3 linked regions of the Macaca mulatta genome follow. The protein of the gene in region 2 interacts with the protein of the main gene of each other region in a biochemical or structural test. Links are inferred from orthologs where the notes say so. Each region holds a gene or a part of one and is shown on either strand. Other genes may lie near its edges. The genes, in order: MAPKAPK2, ZFP36 and YWHAB.

Region 1 (2,304 bases), on a different chromosome or scaffold from region 2:
GATATGCCGTTTTCCCGTCTGACCCGGAGGGACTGCAATGGGGCAGGTAGCCCAGTTTCCACTTTAGGCTCTGCTGCAGGTCAAGTCATCACGTGGCCCCAGCTCTGGGCTTCAGTCTTCTCATCTGTGCACTGAGAATGGGCCACAGGAATCCTGAGCTCTCTTCTAGCTCCGAGGTAGAGCATTTGGTTTCTGCCTGACCCCTATCACCACCTCCTGGAGAGTGCCGGTACTACACTAACCTGCTCCCCTGGTATCTTTTCCAGGATTTCAACAAAATTCACCAGCACCCCGTCTTCCCTGGAGCCTATACCAGTCGGCTTTCACAGGCTAAAGGTGCCAGCACCTGGTGGTGGTTATGTAGGTCAAAGAATCATATGCCAAAAAGAGCTTGGCTCCTGATTCTGCATTTGGCAAAAGAACATGGGCTTGAGCCTTGCAGCCTCCCTGTCCTGCTTTGAGGATGCCCTACACACATCCTGCCCAGGTCCTCACCAATGAGGTGCTGGCCCCTGCTCGCCCAGGAGGCCCTCTGCTCCTCTCCCAGGACCCCCAACCCACACCCCCACCACCCAACAAAACCCCTCTGCACGCAGAGGCATTGGGGGCTAGCGCCTGAGCCCCAGGAAGAAAGAGAAAGAAAAACTCTCAACTATTAAATCTGTTTAGTAAAGACAATTTCGCTCATACAAAACAACAGTTTACAACAATCGAGTGCTGGACACACCGTCTGAGACAAGGGAGGCGCTGCAGGCACCCAGCACCTTCCCCGGTGCACAAAGGCAACCCTGGGTGCCCCTCCACCACCTGCCCCTGAGGGAGAGGAAAGGTGAAGTATTCCTGCCACCTCTCCCTCCAAGGGAAGGGGGAGTGGGGGGCCATGGCACAGAGAGCCTACCCCAGCTGCTCCTCAACTGTGCTGGGGGAGGCCCCTCCCTTCACCGGCCCCGAAGCTGAGTTGTTTGGGGTGATGGCAAATGGCTGATGGGCAAGGGGGCAAAGTCGGGACATCTTTGGTGCAAAGACTCCCCCTGACCCACCAGGCCACACAATGGAAATCTGAGGGAAGACCTCAAAAATGGCCCTGCCTTTGCCCACAAGGGGTAGCTGGCTGATGCCCCAGAACCCAGGAGAAACACAGGAAATGCAAAAGCTTTGTCAACAGAAGCTGCCCAGGCTCACCCACATGAGCTGGGCGGCAGCCCATGGAGAAATGGCTAAAAATTTAAGGAAAATAAACAAAAATGGGTTAATAAATGGCAAGAAGGGGAAGTAGAGAGGTCATTCAGTAGATGAGTGCCTCAGAGGACCTAGGACCAGCACTAAGTGGGGGGAAGGGGGCCCTGGGGCTGGGGGTCCAGTCTTCCTGATCGCTGTGCCAGTGCCCGGTCACTCCTCTCTGCCTCCCGGAACCCAGCGAACAGAGACAGGCCACAGAGGGCCTGGTTCAGAATTTGGATGGGCTTCCCAGGCACTTTGGCAGGCTCAGTATGGGCAGGGCAGACCCAAGAAGGGAGAAGGTTCCTAAGCCCCAGCAGGGCCGTCTCCCTCTGCAGCCCTGCCTGCCCCTGGCCCCTCAAATGCACGATCCCAGGCACAGATCTGCGCACTCGTACACACGTGTGCACACACACACACACTCACTCCTTTTTGTCTGGCACACTGGAGATGTCTGAGGGCTCCGAGAGAGGAGGTGCATGGCATCCTCCTCCAAGGTGGCCTTGAGCTCCCAGAACGCCTGAGCCAGTGGGGACGACCCCAGGCTGTTGTGGAGAAAACAGGGAGGGCAGATGGGACAACACAGGGACAATCCCTATGACAGTTTCCACAAATACCCTCTAACAAACCACAAGCCTTTGCAGTATCCAGAGAGGAAGGCGTCTGGTGGAGAGGAGGAGTGGGGCAAGGACAACAAAAGAGGTTTCATAAAAACTCTAAGTCAAATTACTGATAAAATTGCAAAATGAGCACAGGTTCAAGAGCACCTTGCTCACTTCTCTCCATAGCCTCCCAACCTCCCAACCTCTCCCACTCTGGGGTGGCCAGAGCCAAGGCAGAATTCAGCCACTGACACAGTTCCAGGCTCCATGCAGCTGAGGAGAGGCGGCGGATGTGGACAGTTCCGTGTCTCTTCGTTTAAAAAATATATTCCTGTAGAGAGTTATTGCTTGTCCTCCCGCGGGCAGGAGGGCGCGGTGGCTCAGTGGGCCAGGGCCGCAGCCTCCAGGGCCCGAGCTTTCTTCCGCCTCTTCAGCAGCAGAGGGTTGGACGCATCCTCAATCTTTTTTATCTTGATCTGCTCGT
Region 2 (4,443 bases):
CCTCCTGGGTTCAAGCGACTCTCCCACCACAGCCTGCTCCCTCCCCGCCCCCCAATAGCGGGACCACAGGCGTGTGACACCGCACCCAGCTAATTTTTGTATTTTTGGTAGAAACGGGGATTCACCATGTTGCCCAGACTGGTCTCCAACTCCTGAGCTCTCGTGATCCGCCCGCCTTGGGTGCCCAAAGTGCTAGGGCTACAGGTGTGAGCCGGGCAGGAGAGTAACTTCACTTTGGTTTCCTCCTGCCTTAAATAGGCATACCACCTAGCATTAGGATGAATGTGCGTAAAGCATTTAGAACTCAGCCTAGGTGAGTTCTCCTTAACTCAGCCTAGAAGAGATCATCTGCCTGAGGATGAGGGGCTAGAGCCGCCCTGTGACTTGGGAAAGGAGGCCCCTTTTCAGCCTTGCTAGGTATCCTGGACCCCAACCCACTCACTCACCCACCCAACCCCAGCAAGTGGGGAGAGGGAGAGCAGTTCTGGTCTCATCTGTCTGGGCTGTTTAGGAGTGAGACAACACAAGGCAGGCAGTTCTCAGAGAATTCCCCTCCAAGGCCTGCCGGCTCTTTCTTGGCACTTTGCTTGGCAGATTTCTTTCTGTAAGTGCTTGTTTCTCACAGTCTTTCTCCTTTTTGTCCAGTTTTTCTTTTTAATTTTTTTAAATAGTATTTTTTGTAGAGATGGGATCTCACTGTTGCCCAGGCTGATCTTGAACTCCTGATCTCAGGTACTCCACCTGCCTCACCCTCTCAAAGTACTGGGATTGGCCGGGCTTGCTGGTTCGCACCTGTAATTCCAGCTCTTTGGGAGGCCGAGGTGGGAGGATCCCTTCAGTCTCGGAGGCGGAGGCGAAGATCACCCTGGGCAACATAGGGAAACCCCGTCTCTCAAAAAAATAATAATGAAGAAAAGAAAGAAAGAAAGAAAAACACAAAAAGTGCTGGGATCACAGGCGTAAACCACTTGCGCTCAGCCCCTTTCTGTTTCTTTTTGTGATCCTCCCAACCCTCTTCTCCCTCTGAATCTGTCTCTGGGACTGTCTCTGTCTCCCCACCGTCCCTCCCCTGCTCACCCTATCTCTCCCTGTATGTGTCTCTCGGTGTGTGTGTGTCTCTGTTTTTCTCTCTGCCTCTCTCCCTGTCTGTCTGTACCCCTCTGCGTGTCTCTCCCCGCCCCCGTCCGTCTGTGTCGCACGCGCACCCCCATCGGGCCTCTGCCCTTGTCAATTGCCCCTGAAGCCCTGCCCCCACCTCCGCCCCAGTTTCCTTCTACACGCCTCAGTCTCCAGCTTTGAAAACTGGGCAGGCGCCCCCCCGATCCGCACCCCCACCCCGACCCCCACCCTTTCCCCACGCACTCCCCGCCCGGTCGCGGCTGTCCACCGGCCAAGCTCAGGCGCGTCCTGGCCCAGGGCCGGGCGGAAGGGAACCAGTCCAGGGCCAGCCGGGCTGCGCCCGGGGCGCGCGTCCGGGAAGCGCCCCTCCTGCCCCGCCCCTGGCCCAGGCCCCGCCCCGTGCTTGCTGTTTAAGTAGCCGGCTCTCCCTGCCAGCCTCAGCCTGACTTCAGCGCTCCGACTCTCGGCCGACTCCCCTCTAATGGCCAACCGCTACACCATGGATCTCACTGCCATCTACGAGGTGAGTCCCCACCGCACGGCACCCCCGGTACCTGCACACTTGACTCCCCAGCTCTCTAGCGCCGCAAACTCCATCCCGGGACGCTTGCCTCTCTTCTCCAACTGGGGCTTCCTAGCGCCCTGCCCTCCAGCCTGGGGCCCCTGCCTCCCGCTCAGACCAGCTTGGTGATTTGGAGGTGAAAATGGAGCCCACGACTCCCGGCTCTTGGCCCAAACATGGGTGGGGCGGCCCGTGCGAGTGGAAAGTCGGAGAACTTTTCTCAGACCTAGGCTGCCTGGAGGCGGAAGTGGCCCCCACACCTGGCTCACCCCTAGTCGTTGCTGAGGGCGTGGTTTTGCGCGGAGGCGTCTCTGGGGCTGAAGTCTCAGGGTTGGGGGGATCCGACTTCTGTGTCTCCAGTCCCTGACCGTAGTTCTCTGAGAACCCTAAAACCGAAGCCATCCGGACTCCTGGGTCAACTTTGCCCGGTTCCTCCAGTTGTGAAACTGGAGATCCTGACGCGTGGGTCATATCTGGGGAGGGCAAGAGACCCAAAATTGGGAAAAAGTGGTGTGCCCTGACTTCGGGGCCCCCTCTTGGTCCAGCCGGGAAAGCCGGGATTCCTGGGTCCCTCGGGATAAGGCCTCGGTCGTGGGTAAACTCAGAACCTCCAAATCTGGGTTCCTGGCATCCGGAACCCAGGGGTTTTTGCAGGCGGGTGGGGCTCAGGCCAGGAGCCCACAAACCGGCCTGGCAAGCTCTAGTTCCCTGCAGCTGGGGTGGGGCGTCGCCCTGCATTTTCGGGTACCTTAACCGACCCATTTCCGCAGAGCCTCCTGTCGCTGAGCCCTGACGTGCCGGTGCCATCCGACCATGGAGGGACTGAGTCCAGCCCAGGCTGGGGCTCCTCGGGACTCTGGAGCCTGAGCCCCTCCGACTCCAGCCCGTCTGGGGTCACCTCCCGCCTGCCTGGCCGCTCCACCAGCCTGGTAGAAGGCCGCAGCTGTGGCTGGGTGCCCCCACCCCCTGGCTTCGCACCGCTGGCTCCCCGCCTGGGCCCCGAGCTGTCACCCTCACCCACTTCGCCCACTGCGACCTCCACCACCCCCTCGCGCTACAAGACTGAGCTATGTCGGACCTTCTCAGAGAGTGGACGCTGCCGCTACGGGGCCAAGTGCCAGTTTGCCCATGGCCTGGGCGAGCTGCGCCAGGCCAATCGCCACCCCAAGTACAAGACAGAACTCTGCCACAAGTTCTACCTCCAGGGCCGCTGCCCCTATGGCTCTCGCTGCCACTTCATCCACAACCCCAGCGAAGACCTGGCGGCCCCGGGCCACCCTCCTGTGCTTCGCCAGAGCATCAGCTTCTCCGGCCTGCCCTCTGGCCGCCGGACCTCACCACCACCACCAGGCCTGGTCGGCCCTTCCCTGTCCTCCAGCTCCTTCTCACCCTCCAGCTCCCCGCCACCACCTGGGGACCTTCCACTGTCACCCTCTGCCTTCTCTGCTGCCCCTGGTACCCCCGTAGCTCGAAGAGACCCCAGCCCACTCTGTTGCCCCTCCTGCCGAAGGGCCACTCCTGTCAGCGTCTGGGGGCCCTTGGGTGGCCTGGTTCGGACCCCCTCTGTACAGTCCCTGGGATCCGACCCTGATGAATATGCCAGCAGCGGCAGCAGCCTGGGGGGCTCTGACTCTCCTGTCTTCGAGGCGGGGGTTTTTGCACCACCCCAGCCCGCGGCAGCCCCCCGGCGACTCCCCATCTTCAATCGCATCTCTGTGTCTGAGTGACAAGTGACTGCCCGGTCAGATCAGCTGGATCTCAGCGGGGAGCCACGTCTGTTGCACTGTGGTCTCTGCATGGACCCTAGGGCTATGGGGACTTGAGGGACAGTAATCAAGTAATCAAGTAACCCCCTTTTCCAGAATGCATTAACCCACTCCCCTGACCTCACACTGGGGCAGGTCCCCAAGTGTGCAAGCTCAGTATTCATGGTGGTGGGGGATAGAGTGTCTTCTGAGGTTTTTGACCAAAAAAAAAAAAAAAAAAAATGTAGCATATTTAAGGGAGGCAGTGAGCCCTCTCCCCACCTCTTCCCTGCCCAAATCTGTCTCATAGAATCTTACGTGCTGTGAATAATAGGCCTTCACTGCCCCTCCAGTGTTTATAGACCTGAGGTTCCAGTGTCTCCTGGTAACTGGAACCTCTCCTGAGGGGGAATCCTGGTGCTCAAATTACCCTCCAAAAGCAAGTAGCCAAAGCCGTTGCCAAACCCCATCCATAAATCAATGGACCCTTTATTTATGACGACTTTATTTATTCTAATATGATTTTATAGTATTTATATATATTGGGTCGTCTGCTTCCCTTGTATTTTTCTTTCTCTTTTTTTGTAATATTGGAAACGACGGTATAATTATAAGTAGACTATAATATATTTAGTAATATATATTGTTACCTTAAAAGTCTATTTTTGTGTTTTGGGGCATTTTTAAATAAACAATCTGAGTGTAAGCTGGGATCCTGGCTTCTTCGCGGTCTAGAGACAGGAATGGGGAGGTAGAGGGTGACTTTTTGGAAGCTGGGTGCAGTCAACTCTGCTTCTCCGAGCCTCGCGGCGCTTACCTGGCAGGAAGTGACGTCACCGGGCCTGGCAGTTCACCTGAAAGGGTGGGACCAGGTGAGGTCACCAGATGGGAACCGGGGGAGCCAGTTCCCGGGCGTCGGGGGCGCTGCGCTCCCGTCCTGCCGGGCTCCTTGACCTAGCTCTCGGGCGGGCGCGGGCGGGGACTGAATGTTTCCGTCCCCACGGGGCCGCGGGAGGC
Region 3 (3,169 bases), on a different chromosome or scaffold from region 2:
TCTATTTAAAATTATTTTTTAAAAAATTTTTGTTTTAAACTAGAACTCAAAAGGTCTGGATACAAGGGATACAGTGAAACTCCCATCACTAAATCTGATTTAAGTGATGAATTTTAAGGCACCTTTCCCAAATAATTTTTTTAAAAAGGTGTGTGCATGTTGAGAGACTACAAAAAAAACGTAGAAAAGGCTAACGGAATAATATGGAAGGTAATCCAACACACAACAAGAATGTGGTGTGTATTTCTTTTATACAACTATAATCTCAAATCTTGGTACAAGAATGACAATGTATAACCAAGGCCCAAAGCTTGGCAAGAAACAACTAACTACATTCACCTGGAACTTTCTACAGCCACCCCACAAAACACAGTAATCAAACAAAAGTCAGCAGTACGTATTGAGAATGAATTTAAAAAGTAACAGATCTGTATTTATCTCATAAAAGATACACTCCCACCCCCAGAAAATCTTTCAAAAGAAGTCCAAGACAATGAGTATGTTCAGGAATAAAAAGAAGTTAATAACACAAGCACTGTTTTGCTATGGTTAGATAGCACAAAGGGTCTTTCTCACCGTTTTTGCCAGGCTGCAGGCCTTTTCAGGAGAGTTTAGAATCTCATAGTAAAAGACTGAGAAATTAAGTGCCAGACCAAGTCGAATTGGGTGTGTAGGCTGCATTTCTTTCTTACTAATTTCAAATGCTTCCTGGTAAGCCTGCTGGGAGTTCGACACAGTGGCTGTAACATAAAGATGAAAATATTAAAGGCTCGGTTCTTTCATAGGTATCACACATTGGACCAACTATCAAATTATTTTCTTAATCCCAAATTGGGCAGCAGCAATGACCTAGCAAATGAGGTGTCAGTGTCTCTGCCATTCAGTTATACATTTGTTAGATATTTATTCTAAACCAAGTTGTATATTAAATGCTTTGGGGGAAAATAATTATGGCAAAGTCTACTAAAGCAGTTAAGAAATGCAGTTATAACCTTTAACAATACAGAATGTGAAAAACGATATGCTCCAGTGCAAAGATCACAGGCTTTAACTTTAATTCCCAACTCTTACTCCATCGGTCTGTGGCTTGGGCAAGTAAAAACCTCCATAAACCTCAGTTTATCCGAAAAATGGGCAGCCTGCCACCTAACTCGTAAGGTTGTGTGAAGAGAAAGTGAGACTGGAAAGTACTTGGCACATAGACACTTAATAAAGTGTGGTTAAGATTATCAGCATCACAGTAATACATGAGATAAAAGCAATGCATCACTAGGGCAGTTTCATACTACCAAGTATAAGAAGTTTCACCACTAAAAAGAGAGCTAATAAATAATACTCAAGATAAAGAGCTTTTTAAATATACTGCGCACCAGATTTTTAATGCCCTCCATATTTCCCTGTCAGATAAATTTTTATTTGCCCACCCATGACCCCGTTCATCACAATGCTGTAGTCTTTTAAATTCTTAGTACTGTGACATTGGTGTCTATGGCAAACAGACAAAGCAAAATTGTTAAAAGTCCCTGTGAACGAAGACTGGCTCCATTACTGGTCAAATTTCTTAAGATACTACTTACTTTGTTTGTTGTCTCCAGATGCCACTTCAGAAAGATACCTAAAATAATCTCCTTTCATTTTCAAGTAGAACACCTTACTTTCTGGTTGTGTAGCATTGGGAATAAGATATTTGTCCAACAGCTCCTAAAAAATGATCCACATTAAGAATTTAGAATTATTCACAAGATGTTAAAACTATGTTTGAGATTCAAGATACACACTACTGCTTCTAAATAATTTTTTGGAAGATTAAAAAAACACCAATTTTCGTCCAAGCTACTAAATGTTGTTTAGCCCAGGTCATAACAGCAGATGCCTGTATTCTTCTTTTAAAAATCACTTTGACCATCCATAGGGGATAATTAAAGTATAGCCATACAATGAAATGCTTTGTAGGCCTTTAAAATGATGCAGAGCTACACCGATAATGGAAAGGCTCTCAAAAGAAATGAGTGAAAAAAAGCAGATTACAAATACCACAAGAATCCTATTTTAACATTAAGATACATATGTGTACATGCTCACAAATACACAAGGGAAAAGCCTGGAAGGAGTATGTTAATAATGGTTCTCTGGGTGGTAAGATTAGAAGTGATTTTTACTTTCTTATTTATATTCTTCTGACTTGTTCTCCCCACCCTTTTTAAACCCATAAACTGGTATTACTTCTATAATTAAAGGGGGAAAAAAATCTTTCCTTAGGAGGAAAAAGATGATAATACAGCAAAACTGCCAAGAACTAAGTTTAAAGTCAATCTGACCTGGGTAGAAATCCCTCTTCTGCCACTTATTATCTGTATCTGTGTGACTCTGGACAAATTACCTAATCACCTTGAGCCTCAGTTTCCTCAGCTATACGAAGGGTCATCTTCTAGGGTATAGCCATCTTCTACGGCAATTATAATGATAAGGAAGTTGACATACATAAAGCGCTTAACACGTTGCCTGGCACGTAGTAAGCACTCAAAGAGTAGCTAATACTATTAATAATAAATTCCTTTAAACATTTATGCTTACAACAAAAGTAGTTCTGAAGGAGTCCAAGCTTCGTATACAGAGCAATATTTTCGAAGAGTTGTTTTAGAATGTGGCATCCTGAAAAACTGGTTAAGAGGCAGTAAGTACCAAGCTCTTCTTCACATTCTTTCAGATGCTCTTAAAAGTTGGTCTACATTTCATGAATTATGGAACTTTCTTGCCCTTGGAATGCATGACACACTTCATCTGAATACCAGATGTACCTAACATTCAGGAATTAGTGCACCATTAACAAACCCCCAAATTACCAACAGGCAACAAATTTAGTCATGACACTCTTATGCCATGAGTCTAATAAAAAGAGAAGCTCAATGCAAAGCTAGTTATAAGGGGATTTAATCAACCAAAGTGAGAAGATGCAGGGGGCGGTAGTTGTTTTAATATTCTTTGTAGACAGACAGTGTGTAACTCCTAATGGGTTAGGGATAAGGGGTGCTGCCTGATGGCTGACACGCTTTGTACTGGTTTTCAAAAGGAGTCATGGGCAGTAACTAGGAAAGGGAGCCAGCAGGGAAGGAGGTAGGTCCCCAAGTGTGAATTCCTTTTCCCATCAAAGCAGCTCTCACTGTTCATT

The links.
Region 1: of the proteins of ZFP36 (region 2) and MAPKAPK2, one has a biochemical effect on the other in vitro, tested with the Homo sapiens proteins (2 studies listed by BioGRID). The link is inferred for Macaca mulatta from reciprocal best matches to the Homo sapiens genes ZFP36 and MAPKAPK2.
Region 3: the proteins of ZFP36 (region 2) and YWHAB form a complex in vitro, tested with the Homo sapiens proteins (2 studies listed by BioGRID). The link is inferred for Macaca mulatta from reciprocal best matches to the Homo sapiens genes ZFP36 and YWHAB.

What each region holds. Positions count from the first base shown.
Region 1 is NC_133406.1:64,477,225-64,479,528, reverse strand, and holds the end of MAPKAPK2 (MAP kinase-activated protein kinase 2), read right to left. Parts: coding exon 2,201-2,304; 3' UTR 651-2,200; downstream 1-650. UniProt on the Homo sapiens protein: Stress-activated serine/threonine-protein kinase involved in cytokine production, endocytosis, reorganization of the cytoskeleton, cell migration, cell cycle control, chromatin remodeling, DNA damage response and transcriptional regulation.
Region 2 is NC_133424.1:50,503,454-50,507,896, forward strand, and holds ZFP36 (mRNA decay activator protein ZFP36), read left to right. Parts: upstream 1-1,558; 5' UTR 1,559-1,600; coding exon 1,601-1,642; intron 1,643-2,451; coding exon 2,452-3,408; 3' UTR 3,409-4,132; downstream 4,133-4,443. UniProt on the Homo sapiens protein: Zinc-finger RNA-binding protein that destabilizes several cytoplasmic AU-rich element (ARE)-containing mRNA transcripts by promoting their poly(A) tail removal or deadenylation, and hence provide a mechanism for attenuating protein synthesis.
Region 3 is NC_133415.1:97,754,963-97,758,131, reverse strand, and holds part of YWHAB (14-3-3 protein beta/alpha), read right to left. Parts: intron 1,702-3,169; coding exon 1,578-1,701; intron 741-1,577; coding exon 577-740; intron 1-576. UniProt on the Homo sapiens protein: Adapter protein implicated in the regulation of a large spectrum of both general and specialized signaling pathways. Binds to a large number of partners, usually by recognition of a phosphoserine or phosphothreonine motif.